Linked DNA regions of Drosophila melanogaster. The protein of the gene in region 4 interacts with the protein of the main gene of each other region in a pairwise test. Each region holds a gene or a part of one and is shown on either strand. Other genes may lie near its edges.

The links.
Region 1: the proteins of bsh (region 4) and RpL17 interact in a two-hybrid assay, tested with the Drosophila melanogaster proteins (one large-scale study listed by BioGRID).
Region 2: the proteins of bsh (region 4) and Sod3 interact in a two-hybrid assay, tested with the Drosophila melanogaster proteins (one large-scale study listed by BioGRID).
Region 3: the proteins of bsh (region 4) and galectin interact in a two-hybrid assay, tested with the Drosophila melanogaster proteins (one large-scale study listed by BioGRID).

The regions. Positions count from the first base shown.
Region 1 is NC_004354.4:6,740,816-6,746,273, reverse strand, and holds RpL17 (ribosomal protein L17), read left to right. Parts: upstream 1-2,035; 5' UTR 2,036-2,165; exon of another isoform or gene 2,166-2,324; intron 2,325-2,458; exon of another isoform or gene 2,459-2,599; intron 2,600-3,106; exon of another isoform or gene 3,107-3,125; 5' UTR 3,126-3,135; coding exon 3,136-3,216; intron 3,217-3,272; exon of another isoform or gene 3,273-3,422; intron 3,423-3,447; exon of another isoform or gene 3,448-3,588; intron 3,589-3,782; exon of another isoform or gene 3,783-3,925; intron 3,926-4,017; coding exon 4,018-4,497; 3' UTR 4,498-4,737; downstream 4,738-5,458.
Region 2 is NT_033778.4:11,379,564-11,386,173, reverse strand, and holds Sod3 (superoxide dismutase 3), read left to right. Parts: upstream 1-2,059; 5' UTR 2,060-2,159; intron 2,160-3,098; exon of another isoform or gene 3,099-3,242; intron 3,243-3,856; 5' UTR 3,857-3,862; coding exon 3,863-3,925; intron 3,926-3,991; coding exon 3,992-4,219; intron 4,220-4,282; coding exon 4,283-4,511; intron 4,512-4,579; coding exon 4,580-4,601; coding exon of another isoform or gene 4,602-4,605; exon of another isoform or gene 4,606-5,145; coding exon 5,146-5,335; 3' UTR 5,336-5,380; coding exon of another isoform or gene 5,381-5,492; 3' UTR 5,493-5,725; downstream 5,726-6,610. Other genes in the region: sprt (sprite), read left to right, coding at 1-618, 732-1,113. UniProt on the Drosophila melanogaster protein: Protects the extracellular space from the toxic effects of reactive oxygen intermediates by converting superoxide radicals into hydrogen peroxide and oxygen.
Region 3 is NT_033779.5:70,385-77,132, forward strand, and holds galectin (galectin), read left to right. Parts: upstream 1-2,002; 5' UTR 2,003-2,218; coding exon 2,219-2,593; exon of another isoform or gene 2,594-3,185; coding exon of another isoform or gene 3,186-3,308; exon of another isoform or gene 3,309-3,513; intron 3,514-3,744; exon of another isoform or gene 3,745-4,116; coding exon of another isoform or gene 4,117-4,188; intron 4,189-4,518; coding exon 4,519-4,634; intron 4,635-4,693; coding exon 4,694-5,714; 3' UTR 5,715-5,827; downstream 5,828-6,748. Other genes in the region: dbr (debra), read left to right, coding at 1-165, 223-511; CG11374 (uncharacterized protein), read left to right, coding at 6,062-6,748.
Region 4 is NT_033779.5:19,764,967-19,770,760, reverse strand, and holds bsh (brain-specific homeobox), read left to right. Parts: upstream 1-1,693; 5' UTR 1,694-1,831; coding exon 1,832-2,274; intron 2,275-2,746; coding exon 2,747-3,021; intron 3,022-3,410; coding exon 3,411-3,713; intron 3,714-4,132; coding exon 4,133-4,401; 3' UTR 4,402-4,985; downstream 4,986-5,794. UniProt on the Drosophila melanogaster protein: DNA binding protein that function as transcriptional activator. May play a role in the determination and function of cell types in the brain.

The DNA.
Region 1 (5,458 bases), on a different chromosome or scaffold from region 4:
CAGCGATGCCTGACGTCCGTGACTGCAATTTCGGGGGATTTTTTTATTCGCCGGTAGTAGTGCACTGAGTGCTCCTGCCATCCATCGCGCACTATCATTACTACCAAGGAAACACATGTGCGTGCCGTAAATCGGTGCATACGATAGCCGCCTATCCGCCGCTGACTCATGGAGCTACAAGCTCCAAGCTCCAAGCTCCGATGTTCGAGCCACAGATCTCAGCTTCCCCGCGGAACCAGTTTCCATGGTGTTTGCGTTGTTTTGTGCTTTTTGGCTTTCGCAGGTGTTTCTTTGGTCTTGCGGGTACTTTTTTTCTATGCTCATTTGACGCGGTCTTGGTCAGCGGAACAACACGTTGTGACGTCAGTTTGGGTGTTGGGTGTTGCTAATCGTCGAGTGGGTGGGTTGGGCAGCTCTAGGAGGCTCAAGTTCGAGTGCACAGAGAATAATGAATTGATCGTCATGGATATCAAATGCTTGGCCACATAATGTAATCTGATTTGAAATATTTTGTGATGGCTAATCTATGTATATATGTATATATATATTTCTGCATACCACATAAAATAGCCACATTTTCGCTCTGTGCACGTGAGTAGTGGGTGGTGGCCAGTCTTTGGTTCGTTCTGGGAGCAGTGTTCTGTTTCTTTTGCTTATGGTCTTGCTTGAATGCCCACGAGCCGCGCATTCCAAGGCCCAAACCCTCGGTTGGCAGCTCCAGTTAAGTGCCACCGTGTGTGTGTGTGTGTGGAACCGGATCCTTGGGGCAGCGACATGGACGTGGAGCTACGGACGACATGGCACGTGCAGCAGTTGCGACAGACACTCCAGTTCCTCGACACTTGACCTCAAGAGATGGAAGCGAACCAAGCGATCGAGCGTCACCTGCAATTAGTCGTGAATCATGAATAAATTGAATGGCTACGCGGACACTAAAAATACTCGAGCTTTGAATTTGCGCCAATTAAAAAGCAATAAATGCATTGTTTTCAGCTTTTTGCTTGGCGTTTGACTGAGCAAAGAACTCGGATTTGCCGCAGGATTTGCTGAGTGGTATGGTTAGTGGTGAGTGGTCACTGGTCAGTGGCCATCGGTGAGTGGTGAGCGGTGGAGCACCGCCTCCTTCGACCGGTTTGATCCGCAGTCTTATTTTTGATCGCCAGCCGATTAGCAACGGGCATTTTTACGGTCATGTCCAGAACGAACGCGCTAATAAATGACTAACAGAAAAGGGACAATGCAGTCGGGTTTATTTTGGCTCGATCGGTTTTATCAGTTCGCTTAATTAAAATCCATTGTCCCCCCAGGTGCTAGTTATTTTCCATACTTACATATAATCGAAAAACCGCAAAATACTGGAAGTTTCCCAGGCTTAAGTGACGTCAGTTTTTTGAATCCATTAGCCAAAACCACAAATTTGGATGCTCCGCCGCTTAATAAACGAACTGTTTCCCACCATTTAATGTGGGCCAATAGAATGCACAAATATTTATGATTTAACTAAATTTATTTGATTTTTAAAGCTATGGGAATTTAGGCCCAAGTGAATGCCACTATTGTTCATAAATGAAGTGAGTAATTTATGCAGAGCTCTGGGAAGTTTCCATTTAATCGAAAGCCCTCTACTTATCTCGGCTTCAGTTTAGTTCGATTCCATAAAATCAGGATTAGTATAATTTGAACGGGATTTCATTTAAAATCCCGCGTTCGGCGCCAGGAAATTGCCAAGTGCCGAAATAGCTCAGTTGGGAGAGCGTTAGACTGAAGATCTAAAGGTCCCCGGTTCAATCCCGGGTTTCGGCAATTCTTAGCTTATTTTTTATTTTTCTATCGAACTGCTGCACTGCACTGGATGGTGCAAGCCATCGCTCAGCTAAGCGGGGTGTTAAACCATCGCTTCGCTTTGCAACACTGTTAGATCTTGCCAGGGGCGCAGAATTTGGTTTGCGTCCAAAAAAAACCAGGGATTACTGGCCTATTTTTAGCCATTTTCTGCAAATGACGGTCGGTCACTCTAATTCGACTTGATTTCCAGCACTAGAACTGCCATTTCCTTTCTTTTTCGTTCCACGTTTCCGGTGAGTGCATGTGCCTAGAAAGTTATTTTCCGAAAATTGCCACTTAAATCGTATTCAAACTCATTTATTTGTAGCCAAGGCACTGTGGTACGTTTGCGGTCGTGTTAATGGTGTTTGCGGCGCAATTCTGGCTGGTGGAAATCAACACGTCGAATTGGCCGGCCAGAAAATGCGCTGACACCAAACCAATTCATTTTTTTTCTTACATATTTTTTTTACTGTGGGCCTGCGGGTCAAAACTGAAAGGTGCACCATGTAAAAACAAGCGAATGCATGAATGCATTATATGCCTTGATGGCATTATCTTTTTTTTTCTGTGAAATATTGTGTAAATTGTTCCAGAAATGCATGTGGTGTTGTCATTGTGTCTGTGTGTGTGTGTGTGCCTATGCGCGAACATTGTTTCTCAAAAGTATTTAAACTATCCAAATAAAGTGGTAACTCAATGAAATGCACATAGTTAGACAGTTTTCAATGGATTTCGACTCGGAATCCGTGCAGAATTTTTGTTGTTTACAGGAGCACACACATGCGCACTCCCTTACGCACGCACACACACACATAGGAGCAGGCAGCCGCTTAGTTTTTTTTCTCGCTCATTTTGCACGTGTTTTGATTGCCGCCGCGTTTTTAGATAAAAACCGGTGTTCCAATTGGTTATATTCTTGATATATTTACACACGACCGCCAGCGTATTTAGGTTGCCCTCTGAAATGAGAAGGAAATTGGCGAAAATCTCGCAATTTTCGCATTTTACAATACCGGTCAACATAATAGCAGCAGCAGCAAATAAAAGCGTGGTTAATTCAAGCACCAAATTTTGATTCAGCTTGCTACAACAAATTCGAAACCTTTAAAGCTTTTTGAAGCGTCTCAAGAAACTCACTAGAATTTAATTCAATTTTAAATAATCATACAAATCAATAAGAATCCATTAAAATTCCTTCTGCTAGCGTGCCACAACTGCTGTCTAATATCTTGACCGGATGTGTTATTTACACATATCAAATATTAAGATATCTTACTAATTGCCCATGTTTCTTGCAGATATTGAAAAATGGGCCGTTACTCACGCGAGTCAGACAACGTGGCCAAGTCGTGCAAGGCGCGCGGGCCCAATCTACGTGTGCACTTCAAGGTGAGAATCCTGCCCAGAAATCCGAGGAACCTGGGCCTTCTTGGGCATCAACCAGTCCGCAGCTTAAATCAGTGAATGCCAGCCGATTGTGCAGCATCTCGCTTTTGCATTGCTGCTAGAAGAATCCTCCAATTTGGACGAGTTCATCAGCTGAGTGCCAAGTCCCAAAACTCTGGACGCCCTCTTCTAAAATCTCGCCAACAACCAATTATCCCAATGAATCCAGTATTTCGGCATGCCAACTAAAAAGGCGGTTGCTCCATTCTGGACAACTGCTGACGATACGTGTGCCCAGAGCGAATCCAAAGCCTTGCTAAAACAGCGGCCTGCTGCTTTCAATGAGCTAGTCTCTACCTGTAGCCTGGCACAGATCTAACTAAACCCAAATGAAATCCATCACGGAATCCACTAGATCAAGCTCATATCACCATCACCAGTTAGCTAACGAAATAATGTACACATATCTAGCAGCTCAAGCTGATAACTTAACCAATAGTTATATGCCATGGGCATATCCAATCCTGTATAGCTTACATGATATGAGTTATGATTTATGTTCCCCCTGCATGGGCACAGTTTTAAACTAGGTGGTTATCCTCCATGGAAGATCACCGATCGAAAGCTGTGCCCAAAGCAAACCCCAGCCATTGTAAAACAGCGGCGTGTTGGCCCTCAGTGCTCGCGTCTCTACCTGAACCTTGGCACAAAGTAATATAGTACTTTCCAATCACTATGATTTACGATCGCGCCGCATTTATGTATCAGCAGCAACTGATGAACGATCATTTACTCGTTTTGCAGAACACACATGAGACCGCCCAGGCCATCAAGCGCATGCCCCTGCGCCGTGCCCAGCGTTACCTGAAGGCCGTCATCGACCAGAAGGAGTGCGTGCCCTTCCGTCGCTTCAACGGAGGAGTCGGTCGTTGTGCCCAGGCCAAGCAGTGGAAGACCACGCAGGGTCGCTGGCCCAAGAAGTCCGCCGAGTTCCTGCTGCAGCTGCTGCGCAACGCCGAGGCCAACGCTGATTGCAAGGGTCTGGATGCCGACCGCCTGGTCGTCCACCACATTCAGGTGAACCGCGCTCAGTGCCTGCGTCGCCGCACGTACCGTGCCCATGGTCGCATCAATCCCTACATGTCGTCGCCATGCCACGTCGAGGTCATCCTCACCGAGAAGGAGGAGCTTGTCTCCAAGGCCACTGATGACGAGCCCGCCAAGAAGAAGCTCTCCAAGAAGAAGCTGCAGCGCCAAAAGGAGAAGATGTTGCGTTCTGAATAAAATGTGTTCTGGGCCAGCCGCCCAAGCCGGTGACAACTACTGAAGCTCCATTCTTTTTTTTTTTGTATCCTAAACTTAATATCGATTGTTGTGCGACGAGATTGGAAGTCGCGGATGTGGAGAATACAGAGCACAAGCCCCAGATTTGACCTCCTGGAAATGCTATGCGTTTTGTGTTTAACTCAACCCACTTTTTTTTTGCTAGGCTAGGAGAGCAATAAAGTGAATTGCTGTTTTCGTACATCTGACTTGAACTCAAAATGGGGTTAGGGCTAGATTTTGGCGCTCTCTAGAAAGGAATTTTTTAAAGGTATTGTGAGGGACTTTGATGAAATAGGAATATGCACGGCATAATATGCAAACCACTAATTATATATAAGTTTATTTAGATCGGATTGTTTTTTCCAGTGTGCATTGGCATTAAGCCAATACACCATCCTTAGTTAGCGGAGACACAATACACATTGGTTAGTACGTGCGCGAACCATTGCGATAACTTATCGATATCGATATAGCCAAGATCGAGTTCCGCAACAGCGAGCTTCAGACAGCTAGCCCGTTGAGCGCGCATTTGATTTGAATTTGAAAAAACGTTTTGCCGATCAACAGCGAACATTTTCAGTCTATTTCCTTCCGCAGAGCTCTTGTGGAATGTTCGGTGGCTTTTGCGCGCATTCACTTGCATCAATTGCCTTCGAGTGGCCACTTGGCATATTCATTTAAACTGATTTCATTGTAGCGCACTCGTTTACCAGCCTCCCCACATTTTCTTTGATTACAATTCAGTCGTACTTATACTTACAATGCAAATTAATTGAATTATTTCAATTTGCTGTGCTTCTGGCTCTGGTCAGCGTATTTCGTATTATTATTTTCGTGAGCTCTCTTCCCTGTTTTTGTCTATTTTTGTACTTTTCTTTCCTGATTCACTCGCTGGAGGAATGCCACGCCCACAAGCCCT
Region 2 (6,610 bases), on a different chromosome or scaffold from region 4:
GGAGAAGGAGAACAACATGAGGCTGCAGCATCGCATATCGTACCTGGAAGAGCAGGTGCGAGAACTGCAGACAGTCAAGGAGCATCATCCATCGCAACAGCAGCAGCAGCAGCAGCAGCAACAGCAAAATCCACAGCAAAATCCACAGCAAAATCCACAGCAGACATCCTCCAATCAATCTCAGCATGTGACCAGCATCAGCATATCATCACCTCCATCAACACCGCCCGAGAAACCGTTGATCTTTCAGCGGGGCAACTATATTACCACTTTGGTGGGGGGCAAACCCATCGAGCTGATGGGTGACGACATGGCCTCGACACAAACCCCTCCCGGACATGTAACCAAAACACTGATCAAGGAGAATACCCACATCGATTTGAGAGATCGTCTGTCGCACATGTACTCCATGCCCTCCAAATCGCTGTCCGCCTCGAAGATCTCGATTAATAGCGATTCTGCCTATATGCAGCACCATCGACGTGATAAGGAGCGCCATCGCGATCGCCAGCACCGGGAACGCCCCAGAGATCCTCTCCAGCAACAGCAGCAACTGCATCGCGAACATCTCATGAGCACGCACGCACGCAGTGTAGAGCACCTGAATCATTACAATGGGTAGGTTATTCGCGATTCTTCGAGATTCTTGTGTAGATGTTCTAGCAAAGACAGGCTTTTTCATAGATTTAAATTTTCCTGACTAATCTCCCCGATCTTCTTCGCCATTCCAGACTGGATCGTCGCCGAGACACGCCCCGACAAAGTGAGTCGAACACACTTCGAGCCCGCCTGCCCAGCGATATGAGGAGTGTAAAATCCCTGGATTTCGATAGCGAAAACGAATCGAAGCCTGCGACTGAGACGCGTACCACTAGACCCACTCCGCCCAAGAAACCCCTCCGGCTATCGCTGCAACGAGCCCAAAGTCTGCAGACCGTGGAGCTGCACCCCTGTGCGGATATCGAACGAAAGCGGCCCATGAAGAGGGTCCACCACAACAACAACAACAACAACAAAGGTGGAGAATCACCGACTGGAGAGGGCCAGACCATGCTCATCGAGAACTGCAGTCCCATGCACACGGCTTCCCTCGGCAGGCACAAGCTCATCTAGAAACCCGATCCCAATCCAACCAAAACTAATTGTTAATCGAAGTAGCTTAATCCTCGACCGATCCTAACCGGCGGTTAAACCCAAAAAACAGGCGGACATGTGCAAAATTACAGTAGGCAATATAATTTTAACCAGCTCCCAAGTGGAAAGTTTCTTATTATGTAGTAGCAGTAGTATGTACTTACATTCTATATCTTGTATAAGTAGGGCTTGGCTATCAACATTTAGTATTGAGAGAATCAATAATTAAGAGTTTTTGTATGTACGATGATTTTATTAGCACAATTTACAAATGTGAATACACGAATATTTTCACCTACTTAAATGCGTTATTTATTTAAAAAATTCGATCCCGGCCTGCTATAAATGTGATGTAACTACAATTTCATGGCATCGGTTGGCATATCAGAAGCTATTACCTGGCAACTCATTTTCAAAGAATTTGTAGCAGTAGTTCTTCAAATTGCTTCGCCGTATCTGGAAAGCATGCCAATATTTACGACCTCCATTGTAGGCACGAGCCTGGCACATATTTTATGACGCCACAGTGATAAGGTATTCAAATGAAAAGCACGTTAGCGTGTTTCAGCTGCGCTTTTAGTAAGTTCAAAGAATTACTTAATAGCTATAATTTGGATATAATTAAAAAAAAGGCCGTTAATAGGATAATAAATATATCATCAGAGCTGGACAAAAGAATCTGATCAATCTGCAGTTGATAAAAAAAACTCAACGAGGGAGATAGAGCGATAGAGCGGTGAAGTAAGCCCGAGATAAACCTGAGAGCGGAACTCTCGCCTACGCGATCGTGCTGACCGCCAAATGCAATATCCGCCGCTCCACCTGGTGGCGCTCTCAATTCTCAATTCTGCGGTCTTCTTGCTCTCGCCAAATCTGCCCCAATGTTCTCTCAGCGAGTCGATTTGCGATGGCAATGCCAGAGGCTCGAAACAGTTCCGTCGCAGGTTTCCAACGGTACAGAGGTGCAATCGCTTAATTCTCGCAAAAAACAATCAGTACCCAATTATAAAATAGTTGCTAACAAGGTGAGTTTGCAACGGACGCGAAAAAAAAGAAGATCAAGGGCTAGTAATCGAGAATATTGGGTGAAGGTTAAGCTGAAGTTGAAGTTACTTGAGTTAATTGTAATTGTTAATTGTTCATAATTTATTGGTTTGCTTACATTTTAGAACCTGATTTAGATATATTACCCACAATTGCGTGTTACCAAAAAGAAACCAGTTACCGCAAAAACGGAGTTTACTTCACTGATTTTTGATTCTCTCATTCACTGTCCGCTCACCCTTGAGTGGGTTAAGGTAACCAGTTATTAATCCAGAAAAATGAGTGGGCAAAAATGCAGCACAGACCAGACACAAAATATTGTACATATCCATTACAATCCACACATTCCACGGCTTAAAACTTCAATAAACATTTAAATTCCCAATCGTGAACAGTTGGTTGAACAAGTGTTTACGATATTCTATCTTTTCATATATGTAAAATTATGGCTTGTTCTTATCTCAAAACTGCATAGCTTCGGCGTTTAAATTAGACGCGAAGTCTCTGTGTGTGAAATCAAGTAATCTTGGCTGTATTGTTTGCAAATTCACGAAGAGAGCCCTGCGATCAAATTGTTCAGATAAGCATCTTCATTAGCATATCGTTTCACGGTAAAACTCAAACTGAGTTATTATTTTCAAATCAATCATATTTAATCAGCAAGCAAGAGCCCTAATAAACCTTATTTGATGGACAAGCAGTGGCTATTAGTTGCAATTTGTGACCCATTTCGTGACAGTTTGAACCAGAATAAGTAAATACCTGGCAAAAAACAGATTAAAATACTTATACGTAATGACAATGGCATTTTTAGTTCCGAAATTCAGTCGCTCTACGAGCGTGAGAATCGTAAATTATGGGACCGATTCCAAGTGCAGATAAGGATACGTGTGTAGAGCAGGTACTGACCGCGTTTGAAGATCGTTTCAGAACTCGAGCGTGCAAGATCGCCAGCATATCGCAGACACATTGATAAGACCGTAAGGAAACCGGACCCATAAACAAATATTGCCCCGATAAAGTGTGACACCCATCCATTTCATTTGTGGAACTTTGGAAGCGAAGTGCGTACGAAAAAGAGATTGTTGATTGACCTTCCCGCAGCCGCACTTAACCCTGTGAAAAAGGCTGTTTGCATTTAGTTTCGTTTGGGTATCGCTCATTATTCACACACATAAATAATAATACCCGTTCGCACATCATATATGACCCACAAATCGTTTCATAAATTGAGGCTAGGCGCTTCAATTCCGCACACAACTGTCCGTTTAAATGGAATCAAGAGAATGTACACCTGATGACGTCCAAGCCAGAGATGAGCTGGAATTCAAGTGCCAGAGATGAGTTGGCATCACGGAATTTGAGATTACAAGACATAAACCCTCCTAGCATTTCCCAAAACTGAAAGTATTTGGTTCCAAATCATTTAAAGCTTTACTATAAAGCATTATATAAATAGTTTTGGAAGATGTTTTTAATATTGAGTCCATATCAATTATCGAAATTTCAGGATTATCATTTAGTTCATTTTTAGCTATGTCCAGTAGATCATCCCTGGTGGGATTTTCTCTGCTTGTGCCACTCAATTTAAAATTATTTATTTATAGACATTTAAACATTTCTAACATTTGCTATCCGAGTCGTACACGTGTCTAATTTAACTATGATTTCCTTGCAGTTCAAAATGATGCAATATCTTGTTGTTAGCCTGGCACTCTGTGCCACAATTTGCTCTGCTGCGCAGACGGTAAGATATATAATCTCGTTAATTTGAAAATCCACTTATAATTAGGACACTGAACTTACTTTGCAGCGCAATATGCCCATTCAAGCCATTGCCTATCTGATTGGACCCGTGCAATCGGATAATACCCAGGTCAAGGGCAACGTGACCTTTACGCAGAACGACTGTGGCCAGAATGTCCATGTGCGCGTCCAGCTGGAGGGATTGAAGGAGGGCAAGCACGGCTTCCACATTCACGAGAAGGGAGATCTGACCAATGGATGCATCAGCATGGGTGCTCACTATAACCCCGATAAGGTAGATGCGGGATTCTTTATAGGATTAGGTGTCTAAATCACTAATATAACTTTTATGTCTCAGGTTGATCACGGTGGCCCCGATCACGAGGTGCGTCATGTTGGCGATCTGGGCAACCTGGAGGCCAACTCCACGGGCATTATCGACGTTACATACACGGATCAGGTGATCACCTTAACTGGCAAGCTGGGGATCATTGGCAGGGGAGTTGTTGTCCACGAATTGGAGGATGATCTCGGTCTGGGCAACCACACGGATTCCAAGAAGACCGGCAATGCAGGCGGCCGCATTGGTAAGTAGTCAGTGTAAAATAATAAAATAATAATAATAATAAAATATTTGTTTTAAACCTTCTTTCAGCCTGTGGTGTTATTGGCATCAAGTAAATATCCCTTCCAACGTGTCAGCCAAATCAATATGCTGCTCGAATACTTTATGTGTAGTTGTGTAACTCCAGGCGTAGTAACTAATGAAATGTTTTCCCAATTTTCCCAATTCCCCCACCCACAATCACACTCACCCTTACATGTTTGGCTTACACATTTCCCTCAATTAATTGTCTCAGTTCACTGACTCACTCGATTTGCCGTGTGTGTGTTTGTGTGTAATAAAATCAACAAAAATTAACCGAAATCTAAGCTAAACATTAGCATACTCTGTACCACTTGTGTTCTACCACCTCATATTCATGGCCTAAACAAACTTTCGCGCTTTGCTGGGGTTGCTTTTCCGAGTGGGTAGGTATGACAGAGAGCCTTTTTACCTATCATTTTTACTAACATCATTAGCATTAGTCGGTCGGTCGGTCGGTCGGTCGGTCGGTCGGCGAAGAGAAGGGGATATTGGAATAACAACTGCCGCTGGAATCGGAACTTTACTGATCCAACCAGGGTTCAATCAAAAAACTCACATTGTATGTTTTCCAGTGGCCCATCTGTACCTGCACCTGCACCACCAACACCACGCCATCAGCCACTGTACTATGTGCCCCATGGGGAGCCACAAGATCATGTTGTCTATCCACTCCAGCACTATCCTTTGCCATACCCACACCCATATCCATATCCGCACCCATACCCCTATCCGTATCCGTTGTCGCACCAATTGTATCTGTGAGATCGCGAGACTACACCGTTCGCCTGTTCCACCTTCTAATTGCAGCTCGGATGTGGACGAGTGGCCATGTCGCGATGGTGGCGCCGGCGCCCTGCGCTACTCCTTCTCCATCCTGACCGTCATCGTGGCCCTCATCATGGCCCGCAGCCTTGACTAATCCGAAACATGCACCCGGATCGGATCGAATGCACGCATGTGGCATGGGATTGTTGGCCATCGTAGTGATCTGCATACCTACTTACACACTAACCACACAACCATGAGTCGCACACCACTACCAACAGTAATTATAATACTCCAGCATTATCCACCCAAATAGAGAAATCAAAGGAACTAACTAAGCTACTTGTAAAGTGTTTGAATTGATCGATAATAAAGTTTGTTATTTGTATTTCGGGTGCTTGCAATTTGTACGTGCTTAGATAGTAACAAAAGTTGCTGAAAATGAACGACAGATAAGGGTTAGCTCTAATTTTATAAAAAAGATTAGACAAAGTGTTTCCAATGGACTGTTAGAATTGCACATAAATCACAGTAGTAGTAAGTTATCAAGAGAATTAAATATAACTTCAATTTTGTATGTTGATTTCTAAGGACAAATAGCTGTTTGTTCCCTAAAATAGGTTACCAAATAAATGAACACTCAAAAAGTTGGTAGGAAAACTATATATAGAACTTCGACGTCACCAAAGCTTTTCCTACCCATACACCTTTATGTGGCTGCGAATGGGTCATATAACATTTAGTTGCCTTTGATTTGCTGAATTCCAGCTTAGAGCCACAATTTGCTTTAAATTGCGGAAGCCTTCAGAAAATATTTGTGCTCCAATCATTCAGAGAACTCCAATTCCCAGGGATTTTGATTCCAAGCCGCCGCAACTAATGGTCAAGCAACAGTTTTTGCTTTTATTTTTTCTAGATTTCTTCGACCAGATAGGCTCAGCCAGAGAATGGGTCAAACAGTGGGATTCTAGAAAACCTAGGGCCATAATTCCCGACACGCAACACTAACATCATCCGAAAGACTGTGGCATACTTCTGGGCGTCTTTAATTATTTCGCACAGTCCTCAGAGAAAGAGAAAGCATTTACAACTTTCTTTGCCGCGCACGAAAGCACGCAATTAATTTCGCCTTGGGCCCGGTCGAGTTCCAAGTGCTAAGTGCCGAACTTTAAAGGGAAACACATAGACGTGGGCGCACAGCTAAATTTTTATGGTAATAAGTGCAATGACCCACCCGGAATCCAGCTGGAGATGGCGAATGGAGCCGTGAGT
Region 3 (6,748 bases), about 20 Mb from region 4:
GCGAGGCAATCATGAAGAACCTGTGAAGCAACTTGCCGATTCCACAACCAAGCTAAGTGCAGCAGAATCGGCAGATGAGCATAAAAAAGCAATTGCCGAGCGGGAGCTGGCCCTGCTGAATCGTGGATTTAAAGCAGGAGAAGAAAACACGATTTCCCTAAAAGAGTGAGTTGTAGATTTATTGATACGGACTTTATTTAAAATGTTTACCGTATTTTTTAGTGATAAGTGGGAGCGAACTGATGTTAGTTCTTCATCATCAAGAAACCGCCGAGGACGTAAATCAAAGATTGATTCCAACGTCGAGGATTTTGGCGATGAAGAAAAAAAAGACTCTAGATGGGATGAAGACGATGACTTGCCGTTAAAGGCAGATACGGAAAAACCTTCAGAACGGAACAGCACCAACGCCCGACCGACCCGTACTAGCAAAACGTTATCAAAGTATTATAAAGGACCAACTTCTAAATCACATCATAGCATGGGTACGCGCTCGACACGACAGCGCTGAGATATGCTTTATATCCTTCATATAAAATATGTGGTTTTATTTTGGAAAATATTAAATACCTATTTTACGTCCCTCTAAGATGCACATGTAATTGTGTACAATGTATACTCCCATTTAAAAACTAGTATAGTTGTATTAACTTTATTAAAAGCAATGGCTGGAGTCTACACACGAAAATAAGTCAAGAATAGTACAACTATTTAAAGAATAACACGATTTGGTTGAAAAAATTTCCTTACGTATGTAAATCGATTAATTATTCAGCGCTTAAGTTTTCTTTTGGGTTAAGTTTTGAACATATAATGTACCTTCTGGTGTATGTTAACATAAAATCCAGAATATGCCTTTAGACAGCAGAACGGAAGATATTTATTTGGTTTACAGTCTTGAATCTAAGCTGTATTTTTGTAGTTTTAATTAAACTTTTGTTTTTAATAATAACGGTACCGAAAAATAATTTTAAATAATGTAAATAAATAATGATGCTGAAAATTTAACAATTGCAACGTCTTTTCTAAACATCATCTTAATTGATAGTTCACAAACTTATTTAAGTTCAAAAGCAGAAAGAATGTAAGCTTCGACAGGTCATTTCGATCATTAATAACAATTTGATATACACCACTTTTGTATATGTTTCGGTAATGATAAAATCGGTTGTGATATATCTGCTTTAGAAACAGCAGGAAAATGAATGAAAACAGCTAATAGGCAATTGCCTTAAAAACTTGCACATACGAATGTAAATATGTATGTACATATGTACATCAATCTCTTTTTACAAAGCACACAGCGCGAGGTCTAATGGCTGATTCAGACAATGATAATGTGCAAAACAAAATATCAGTTTGAAAAGCTTCGCGACGTGTGGCGGTTGTTGAAATCGAGCAAGTCAAAATATGTACACATGTAGGTTTATGTGAACGCCCCAGTGATTCTAAGAATGAAGAACATATACTTGTTCAATAAAATATTGTTTTTATTTAATTATTAGCATCAAACTTTTAACGTTAAAAAAGGTCTTCTTAGCGATTGGTAACATATTATTTTTCAGCTATCTAATGAACAATAGCAACGTTTTCAACTGTTCCGAGATCAATTTATTTCCATCATACAAATGACTTGCTGCTGTGGAAAGCAAAAACGAAGCCAGGATGAAACCTATCAGAGGTTTAAAAATGAGGATGTAAGTTTGTCGATACTAATTGCTTTGCATCGTCAACTTTATGGTACATTAATAGCCAAAAAGAACTACCACCGCTATCGAATACGACAGACAACGCCTGTACTAATACATATGAATGAAGAATATACATACTAGAAAAGTTTCTTAATGTAGATACATATGTATAGGCGCACCTACGCATGACTAAATTTGTATGTGTAGACAAACAATGTTATCAGAATGCAAAAGCTACATATCTCGGGGTTGATAAAAAGTATTGAGCTATAGGTGGCCTCGGTCAGGCCGGCATAAAATCAAATTCCAAACAGTCCGCTCACAAACCGCTGCTAAAGGCACACGTATTTTGGCTTTCAGATGCATACATACATACATGTGTATGTATATATGTATTCAGCCAAAAAAAATCTCGTACATTAAAGCGCGCTGAATTGCACCAAAAGAGCGAGAGAGCGTATAAGCTCCGTGCTCAAAACCGCATTTGCATCGGGTAAAATCGGTAACCCCATCTTTGCATAGTCAGTATGACGGCAATAATACTCCTGGCTTGCCACTCGGTTCGCGAACTCGTCGATCTGTCAGATGCTCTGTGGCAGAACACTTTTAATATCGAACGAAGTTTAAACTATTATCGCATCAAGCGCCGTTTGGAACTGTTTCGATTTCATTGCCGCGAGCTTTGGTTGCGTCAGGTGTCAAAAACATCCGATCCAATGCATCGGAAGGCAGGCATAGATTTTGCAGCCATTGAGGCGGGTGCAGACTGTGTCCTAAATATGGATGCCTTTGACGATACGACAACGGAACTACACAAGAGGTTTTTACAGGCGGAGGGCACAAGACCCTTTCCTTCGGATTGCATCAGCGGCATCGAGGTGGTGGATGGAAATGAATTTAAAGTGCGTAATCGGGATACTATAGCGCAAATACTGAGTGGTTTAGTGATAGTGCTTAAAGTGTAAACATGTGTTTGTACGCATCACGTACAAATGTTTTTCTCTTTTTTCGTCTTTGTTTTGACATTTAGCGTACTCCGCAGTAATTCCCCTATTCGCGTTGTGGGGGAGCTTTTAATAGCTGTTCGCACAGTCGCGGTCGGACAGGGTGGTTTCTTTAGCGCTGACACCAATTTAAAAAAACTCCACACTGACGCCAATATACACAATGGCGCCACTGTTGTTTTAATTAAGTTCAGGCACTTCACTATGTAGTTTAAATGAGTTGTGTATAATGGCGCCACTGCGATTTTAAAGCAGGATTGGTGTCGCCAGTGCAATGTGTTTTTAAAGCTTTTGTGTATCAAAGCGATAGTTTTCCAAAAGCTGTTTATAGAACTCGTTGATCTGTCAGATGTTCTGTGGCAGAATACCTACAAAATCGAGCGAAGTTTAACTGTTTGGATTTTATTGCCGCGAGCGTCAGCCCTCAAGGCATCGGAAGGCACACATTGATTTTGCAGCTATTGAGGCGAGTGTATACTGTGACCGAAATATGGATGCCTTGGACGGTACGACAATGGAACTGCACAACAGTTTTCTACAGGTGGAGAGCACAACACACTTTCCTTTGGATTGCATCAGCGACATCGAGGTGGTGGATGGAAATGAATTAAAAGTGCGTAATCGGATAAATTGAGCGCAATTGCTGTGGCTTAGCGGTTGTGCTTATATACGTACATGCGTGCGTTTGTCACATCATGTACAATTGCTCTTCTCTTTTTCATCTTTGTCTTGGCTTTTAGCGTACTCCGCAGTAATTCCCCCATTCGCGTGCTGGGGGAGCTCGAAACAACTGTTTGACATAGTCGTGGTCTGACAAGGTGGGTGGCTTTAGCACTTAGTCAAGTCTGAACCCTAGCCACTCTTCATAATTATTTAAAGCGATAAGCTCTCAACACAAGTCAATTCAGGAGCTTACTCGCCATTTATTTGCACATCTGTTAAGGGTGTATACATACATACATATATCGTCGTTTTTATATGTCGAGTTCAAAGAGCTTTTGGCGTTGTCATAGCGGCGTAGCTTCAATTCTCTTCAAGCGTGTAACTCGCGAAAAGGGAGACAATAATAACAGCTAAATATCTGGCAACCAAACCATTTTGTTAAATAACATTAAAATCCTTTGAGCTCCTGAAGGCTGAAAAGAACGTTTTAGGGCAGAATATATTCATCAACAGCGAATTCTAAGGAACTAAAAGTATATTATTTACATGCGCAGTATTTAAGTTACAGTGACTTTTCGATTTTCAATGTGCGGTAGCGAGCAAGTACGATGTTGATTCATTCCTTAATGTCTAAAAACAAATACATTTCGATAAGCGATTCATAAAGAGTTCTGTGGTTAAAAAAGTACATCCCTTGAATTAGACGAATATTTAATTTTTTAGTTCTGGCTATTCAGATTTCCAAATCAGAACGTAAAATGTGTCTTAGGGTTTTGTATGAAAAAATGATGTGCTGTTGTCCCAAGCTGAAAAAGGGAGGTTTGAATGAGGTAAGCAAGCATTGAACATATTGACGGAAGAATTTATAACTAAAAATGTACAAAAGAGTAAAATGATAGCTTACATCTGTAAGCAACTAGTATTTTGATTGTCCTTTGGAAATGACTTATAGTCTTATCGTTTGTGCAAACGATAAACAAATTAAGTTAATCTTAAATTTTCTTTATATATGGAATGGCTGACAAGGCTACTTTCCAATTTGGCTATATTTTAATCCGAACACTGCCTTTTACGATAAACCTTGAACTGGAGGGGTGAAAGACTGTTTTAAGAGTAATTAAAAGTTTTTAAAAGTTCTGCTTATTAAATTCCCATTCTAGGCCTCATTTTACGAATATGCAGATGCTGTGCCAAAATATTTTAACGACCAAATAGGGAAATTGAGCGAAGGGATAAGTTTCACGGTGACTGGGAATCTCTCTGTAAACTGCGAGAGGTATGTTAAGTGGCCAAGTTTACGTGATTAATTTTTAAACTGTTCCTCGTCCTTTTTAGGTTTTCCATCAATCTGGTTTATAACAATGACTCTCGAGATGTGGCGCTCCACATTAATCCACGGTTGCCACAAAACTATATTGTCCGCAACACCAAAGTACAGGACATTTGGGGAAACGAGGAAGTGTCCTCGGCATTGCCGTTTCTACTAAGTCGAGGCGAGGAGTTTTCCATTCAAGTGCTAGTTACTGAGGCATGCTATATGATATCGGTAAACGGACAACACTTTGCAGCGTACACTCATCGAATCCCTTATAGGGATGTTCGCATTCTGGAAGTGAAGGGAGATGTAAGTAACGTGGAAATGAAGCGAACTTTGGTCTTAAAATATCCTGAGCGATTACCCCAGTCAGAGGCTAATAACATTGAGCTTCACATAGATGATGGGATTAATGAAATTGATGCCAGCGTTGAGGAGACTGTTAAAATACCTCATGAGTGGTGCATTATTAGCGCCCCGAACACACAGTCGGACAGTTCGCCTAAGCGTAACAATAGTTCGAATGATCTTGGCCTTACTTTGCCTTATTATGGAGCATTGCCACCAAATTCGTTGGTCGATGGTCGATGCTTGAAGATTGAAGGGAGAGTGCGATTACTTCCCCACTCGTTTTATATAAACCTGCAACAGGGGCAGGACATATGGCCACATCCAGTAATTGCATTCCACTTAAACCCACGTTTTTCGAAAGCAAGCAGCGGCGCTATTGGAAAGGCGGTGGTGTGTAGGAATGCCTGGCTTAATGGAGCTTGGGCACAAGAAGAGCGTTCGGAGTTTGACACAAACTTTCGCCCTGGTCGGTCTTTTTGTTTAGCCATTGTTTGTACCAAAACATCCTTTGAGGTGTATGTCAATCGGCAGTTTATGACTGATTTTAAATATAAGGTTAGCCCTGAGGTGGTGGACACTGTCTACATACAAGGAGATGTTAAACTTTGGAATGTAACGCTGGAAAAAAATCAGATGATTAAAGGCAAAAATATGCGAGTCTATCAGAATCCGTGGTTCTTTAGTGAGTAGTAGCTGTTCATGTTTTTATTTTTTAGTAGTTTAGCGACAATAAAAAAGTGATACGCTCGTGTTTCATTATACAATATTTTTGTTAATAAATAAAATTATGGTAACGTCATCCGATTTTTATTATTCTTCCCTACACATGTGTATTTATATAATTGAACGCATAGTCGCTATATGGGTATTTATTGAGTAAAAAATAGCTTTCAATGTTTCTGGTAATGTCGTTTTCTTTTTTAATGTCAAACTCTGGGTATTTATTCAAATGTTATAAATATTTTAATCTCCCTTGTATAACAACAATTTTGAAGTTTCTTTCCCTACTACTGCCGTATAAAATGGAGAGCAAGTGTATGAGCGTGTATCCTGGAGCGTGCACTGTAGCTCTAAGGCGAGTTATGGATGCGATGTCGTTGTTCTATGAAAAGCGTTCAGAAGCCCATCGACGCAAACATTTTAAAGTGATCCAATGTCCAAGGCCAGGACTTTGTTTCGTCTTCCACGGAATGATCCTAATGGCATGTGAGCATTTTGTTATTGATTTTCTCACCAAGCAGGGAAGTGAAATATGCGAGGAGTGCGATGTCCTACTGCAAATAGGATCACGACTTCCTCAAAATTATATAACGCGTAATTCTCGTCTTAAGGGAAAATGGGGACCCGAGGAAAATTCTTCATATTTAACCTTCCAGCTGAACCGGGGAAAGTCTTTTTGGATGCAAATATTGCTTACTGAGGAGTGCTTCTTTATTTCTGTCAACGGCTATCATTTTGCGAAATATTTTCACCGTATGCCTTATCGGTGGTTGGAAGCTGTGGATGTACTCGGAGATGTCTCCGACATCGTTATCGATACATACTATGTTTCCGAGTATCCTATACGCCTAACACACTCATTGCCTCGACCCATTCCACATTCAAACAAACTTCCCCGAGATGGAGAGAACGTGGAAACTGAATGGATGGTTTTATCTTCTCTGGCAAAGATGTCATCTAAAAAGTTCCTCTACCAGCCGAGCCTCCCTCTTCCTTTCTATGGA
Region 4 (5,794 bases):
GTGAGAGAAGTGCTCATCTCTGGCTGGGATACCTTTTTCCAGCTTTCCACTTCTATGGAGCTCTAAACTATATGTAACTATAGTCTCGAGATATTTTATTCTATTAATATTCTTTCTCTAAGATAAATATCAGTTTTTATTTCTCATATATGTAATAATAAATATATTTATAATAAATAATAAATAATAATAATAAATATATTTATTATTAAGGTATACAACCCTTAAATTAAAATTTAATTTAGATGGGATTTCATAAAATAGATTTATAGAAAATGAAAAGAATATTATAAAATAGATATTAAAAGAAAAACGTTGTCTTTTTAGGAACTATGAATCTTATATCTTTTTAATTTAATAATTTTAAAATTGGTAGAGCACTTCTGAAATTAGGTTATCACTTTTAAGTACTATTATTCTAATATCTTTTAAATACAATTAAATATTTTTATTCGTTAACACAAACCCCATAACCCCCCAATGTCCTTAGAGAAGCTGAGATATTTTTGCCCAGGAACAGGGCAGCACATCCCCAAGCAGACCCAACCATCACCGCGATCACTCGAATGCCATCCTAATGCGCCCATTTTAGGGCTTTAACCTAATAATGACGTTCGACTTAGTTTGCGTGACTTATTTTATTAATAAAACGAGCAAATTTGTCTTGCTTTTTGGTCGCATCGTCGTCATATGCTTTTTCTCTCTCGGCGATGTCTCGTTATTGTCCTTCCTTCCTGCTCTGTTTGTGGAGACCCCCCCCCCCCATATTTCCCTCTCTCTGAAGGAATTAAGGACTTTCCGCTGTGAGGAAAGACTGATTCTCAAAGCAACAGGACGAAACAGGACGAGTATAGTTGCGAAAGCAACCCCTCGGCGAGCTCTTCGCCGATTGGTGGCTTGCTGGAAAGGAGGCACGCCCCCTTTTTCGATGGTGTCACTTGGTTGGGTGCGGAGGGGGCCGGGTGTCCTTGGTGGGTGGTGTACGGCTATGTGGGGCTCTGATTCAATTAACCGCGCGGGGAAAAAATATCTGAATGCAAAGCAGGCGAATGCTTGGCCCCAACCCAGCGGGTACAGTTGCGCTGGCTCCACCTAGCAATTATCCTGTCACAGCAGCAGAATCGATTGTTTAATTCAATTATAATAATTGTGGCATTTAATGCACGCACATCATCAGCCAGACAGCCAACAATGGCGGCCGTGACACGTTAATTATGACAAGTGGGTGCCAAATGGGCGGCTGGGGACGTGGCAGGATGTGCCTGCCTCGCAAAATGGCGGCAGAGCAAGGACGCATAGTTGTGCAACTTATTTGCGGCTAACGGGGGTCAATTAAACTAAGGTTTTTCCGCACTAATCGCATGTCCAGTGGATGCCAGCAGAGAGATGGGTGCTCAAAATCCTGCCAGAGCAGGACAACCCTATGCGCATGCAAATCGAGGGGTGTGTTCATGTGCCCGCTTACGGGGATTCCCCGAATATTGCCGCTCTAAGCGGGCACCGCAAAGCGGGCCAACTGCAGCCGGATTGAGGAGGGGGTGGCACTGCCTGCGCTCGCATTTTTTCCCCCCCTTCGATTTTCCCCTTTTCGCAGGATGCAGGACCATATCGCCGGCTCGCTCGCACATGTCTGCTGGCAGCTCGTTTAGAGCAATTTGCTGGTTGATGTGCGGTGATTGCCGCAAACTCAACGCGACCGTCAACGAGCAAACAACATAAGCGCGCGCGCGGTCCAAGGACACGTATATATCCCGGCTGGCTGGCACATCTCCTGGCTCCGGTCTCCATCACTGCTCCTCGTGCTCCTCCTGCTCGGCCATCCTCCAGCGCAATGGCAATGCTTAATGAGGCCAGCTTGAGTCCTGCGGACGCACATGCTCATGCCAACGCCACCACGCCCACGCACAGCAAGGCGGCGGCGATGGCCAGTGCCACCACAATGCTGACCACAAAAACGCCGTTTTCCATCGAGCACATATTGTTTCAAAACTTAAATAGTGCCAGCAATAACAATAATAGTAGTGATACCAACGGCATCGCCGCAAACACCAACAACTACGCGCCAAAGAGCAGCAGAAACGCGGTGAAAAGTGCCAGAAGCGCATTTGCCCACGACAATAATCCGCACAAACATCCGTCGCAACATTCGCATCCGCCGCAGTCACATCCGCCGGCGTCCGCATCCGCATCCGCGACGGCTACTGCCCGCAGCAACCAGGCTGCGTCGGGTTACGCTGGCGAGGATTACGGCAAGTCCATGCACAGCACTCCACGGTTGGTTTCCGAATTCCAAGGCCTAATACTACTGCAGTGAAATTTTAGTTTAAAAAACTTTAATTTTAAGCCAATATAATTGCATAGAAAAGTGAAAAAAAGTAATTAAAATAAAAAAAAAATAAATAAAAAATAAGATAATATTAACAAAGTGAATTTATAAAAGAATAAGAAGTAAACATGAAACATCAAATACGATAGATAGTCACACCTTCTTGAAGACAAATATTTTGGAATAGCATACACCTTTAAAATCTTACTTTGGATTATGTTCTTTTAAATTATAGAATATTTTTTGTAAGAAAAATGATATTTTGGAAACATAGAAATCAGGCTTACCATAAAGCTTAATGTATCTGGGAATATATATTTGTATTTAAGCATATTAGCATAAAAATCACTATTGGACATAAAGAGAATAGTTTAACATCGAAATACCAATAGACCCCTAATTGAACCACTTGCTTCGTAGGTCCAACCACCACTCGCGACACGGAACTTCCCACTACAACGGAGATCAGATTTCGCAGCAGTTGGGATCTGGAGCAGCACAACATCCGCCGGTGCCCACGACTCAACCTCAACCTCCGCCTCCGCCGCCCCTGAATGGAGGTAGTGGTGCATCCAATGGAGTACTCTATCCGAATGCACCCTACACCGATCACGGATTTCTTCAAATGACCCTCGGATATCTCTCGCCGTCGTCGGGCACCTACAAGTCCGTGGATCCCTATTTTCTATCACAAGGTGAGTTAATGCTCGATATTACAGAGATATCCTCCTAGATGATTCTGATTTGTACTGGTACATACAAACATGTTGGTAATAAGTTAAAGTCGAACTCATAGAAATTAAAAGTCAATTCTAGCTAGAGTTTAGCTAATCGAAAATGAAGTTGGACATATTCTCATTAAAAAGCCAGCACAACATTTAATTTCACATTTAGAACTTTTTCAAAATGAAACCCAAATTAGTAGGACAACTGATGTTGAAGTGCAGTTTTTTGTTGCCACATAGCTTCATTTAGGGGCACTAAAACTCGAAATATTCGGTGTAAATGGCCATCAACACCGAAAGTTTTCATTTGTTCCAACTATAACGAAGTTAACCAAATTTTGCATCCTTTGCCCTTTCAGCCAGCCTGTTCGGGGGAGCGCCCTTCTTCGGAGCGCCTGGCTGTGTGCCGGAACTGGCCCTCGGACTGGGAATGGGCGTGAATGCCCTGCGCCACTGCCGCCGGAGGAAGGCTCGCACGGTGTTCAGTGATCCGCAGCTGTCCGGTCTGGAAAAGCGGTTCGAGGGACAGCGATACCTGTCCACGCCGGAGCGTGTGGAGCTGGCCACCGCCTTGGGACTCAGCGAGACGCAGGTGAAGACCTGGTTCCAGAACCGCCGCATGAAGCACAAAAAGCAGCTGCGCCGGCGCGACAATGCCAATGGTGAGTATATTGATTTCATAATCACAAATTTATTATGAGCAAATTAAATATTACGAAATTTATAATACTCAAATCAAGTTATTTAATATTCAAACCTTTTCTGGGCTGTTAAGAACAACTAGAGCGAAAAAGAGTTGCTCAAGTTTTCCAGCTTTTAGACAATGCAATATTTGAGTTAGCAATTAAATTGTCAAAAGGCATTTCGAGCAGGAGTGGTCAGCGGTTTTCAAATTGGTCACAAAGCACCAAAAACTAGACCACTGGAGTGAGTAGTTTCTTTGAGGAACTTTTGGACTATCAATTAGACCTTTTGGCTTTTAGCCGGCTCCTTGTGATGCAAAAAGTTTTGCTCAAGTTTCAACGCAAATCAAATTAGTTCTAAATTTTGTGGAAATTTCTTTGACTCTTCCATGCCGCAGAGCCCGTCGACTTCTCACGCAGCGAACCGGGCAAGCAGCCGGGCGAGGCCACCTCCTCATCCGGGGACTCCAAGCACGGCAAACTGAATCCCGGATCTGTCGGCGGCACACCCACTCAGCCGACGAGCGAGCAGCAGCTGCAGATGTGCCTGATGCAGCAGGGTTACTCCACGGATGACTACTCCGATCTGGAGGCGGACAGTGGCGACGAGGACAACTCCAGCGACGTGGACATCGTCGGCGATGCGAAACTCTACCAGTTAACATAGACAGTTCGATCGGGATGTGGACCTGGATCCTAAAGTAGTAAAGTTTTCGGTGTTTCAGTTGGGGGAAATACAACTAAAAGAGATTTTCAAATCAAAAAATATCAGTTTCTTTTACTAAATGACTTTTCTATTAGACAAGCACAGAAGTTACAAAACAACACATATATTATCAGCGCGAGCATGGTTATACCATTTTGAAAATATCTATTATTACGATTTAGTACGAACTATAGTTCCTTATAATTGTGGAAACTTACCCATCAGTTTCACCATTGAATTAATTGATTGATTATAACAGATACCATCCAGCTACTCTAGCTGTTTTGATCTTGTCCAAAAGAAACATATTTATTTTGCTATAATTATAGTTGTATTTCCCCCCAGATACATATTTGAATTGAATCGAAAAGCCGTGTAAATACCAACGAGTTCTTGAACGAGTTTTCTAGTCATGTATTAAGTCTAATAACTAATCAAATTTAGTGATTGTATTCGAGAACTTCCATTTTAAGATACATTAGTTCCCTGCGACTTCTTATCCAGAACATAGTGCTTACAATAAACGGAACGGAGCGAATTACGCGAATGCTGGAGAAGTGTTACTGGGTGGGTGGGTGGTGTAGCTTGATGCCCGCCCCCTCGCCGGGCAATCAAATCCAATTGACAACACAAAGTAGCAACTAATATGGTTAAGCAGCGGGAATACTGATGTATGGGGTTGGCGACTGCCACGCCCTGCGCATGTCCTGCCGCCCAAGTGGGCGGGCGGAAGCGGGTGGGATTGGATTGAATCGGGGTGGATGGAAATGCACTTAACAATGGCAAAATAATTGCGGGTTTTCAGACAGCCATTTTAGTGAGACACCCATTGTCAAGTGCGGAATAGAGTGAGGAGGTAAAAGTTAAATGTTTCAAATTGATTGGTAATTACGGGTTAGCAGGAATGCTCTCGAAAAAATATTAATAGTTTACCCGATTAAGAATGAGTCTTGGAGGGAATGGAGTTCCATATGCTTATATACATGTAGATACCTTTGCAGTCATCAAAACTCATGGATCTATTTGTTGAGAGAAGTTATCATTTTTAGTTTCATACTTTGGACTGTTAAGACTTTTCTTGACGTCAACGAAGCATATTCCAATTCTATTCTGGCGATTAAATGGCATATGTACATATGCTTGTTAATAATATGTATTTTTTTATATAAATTTCGAGTGTGTATTGAGTTATGCTCAACTTGGTAAACATGCGAATTAATAATATTCGGAATAATATACAACCTAAGGTCGAAGCAATGACAAGTCGCAGTCGCTTTAGCCACTTGTATTTTCCCAGTGAATACAGAAACTAATAAGTAGTACTCTTGGGCTTATCTTGCTATTGATAAGCTCA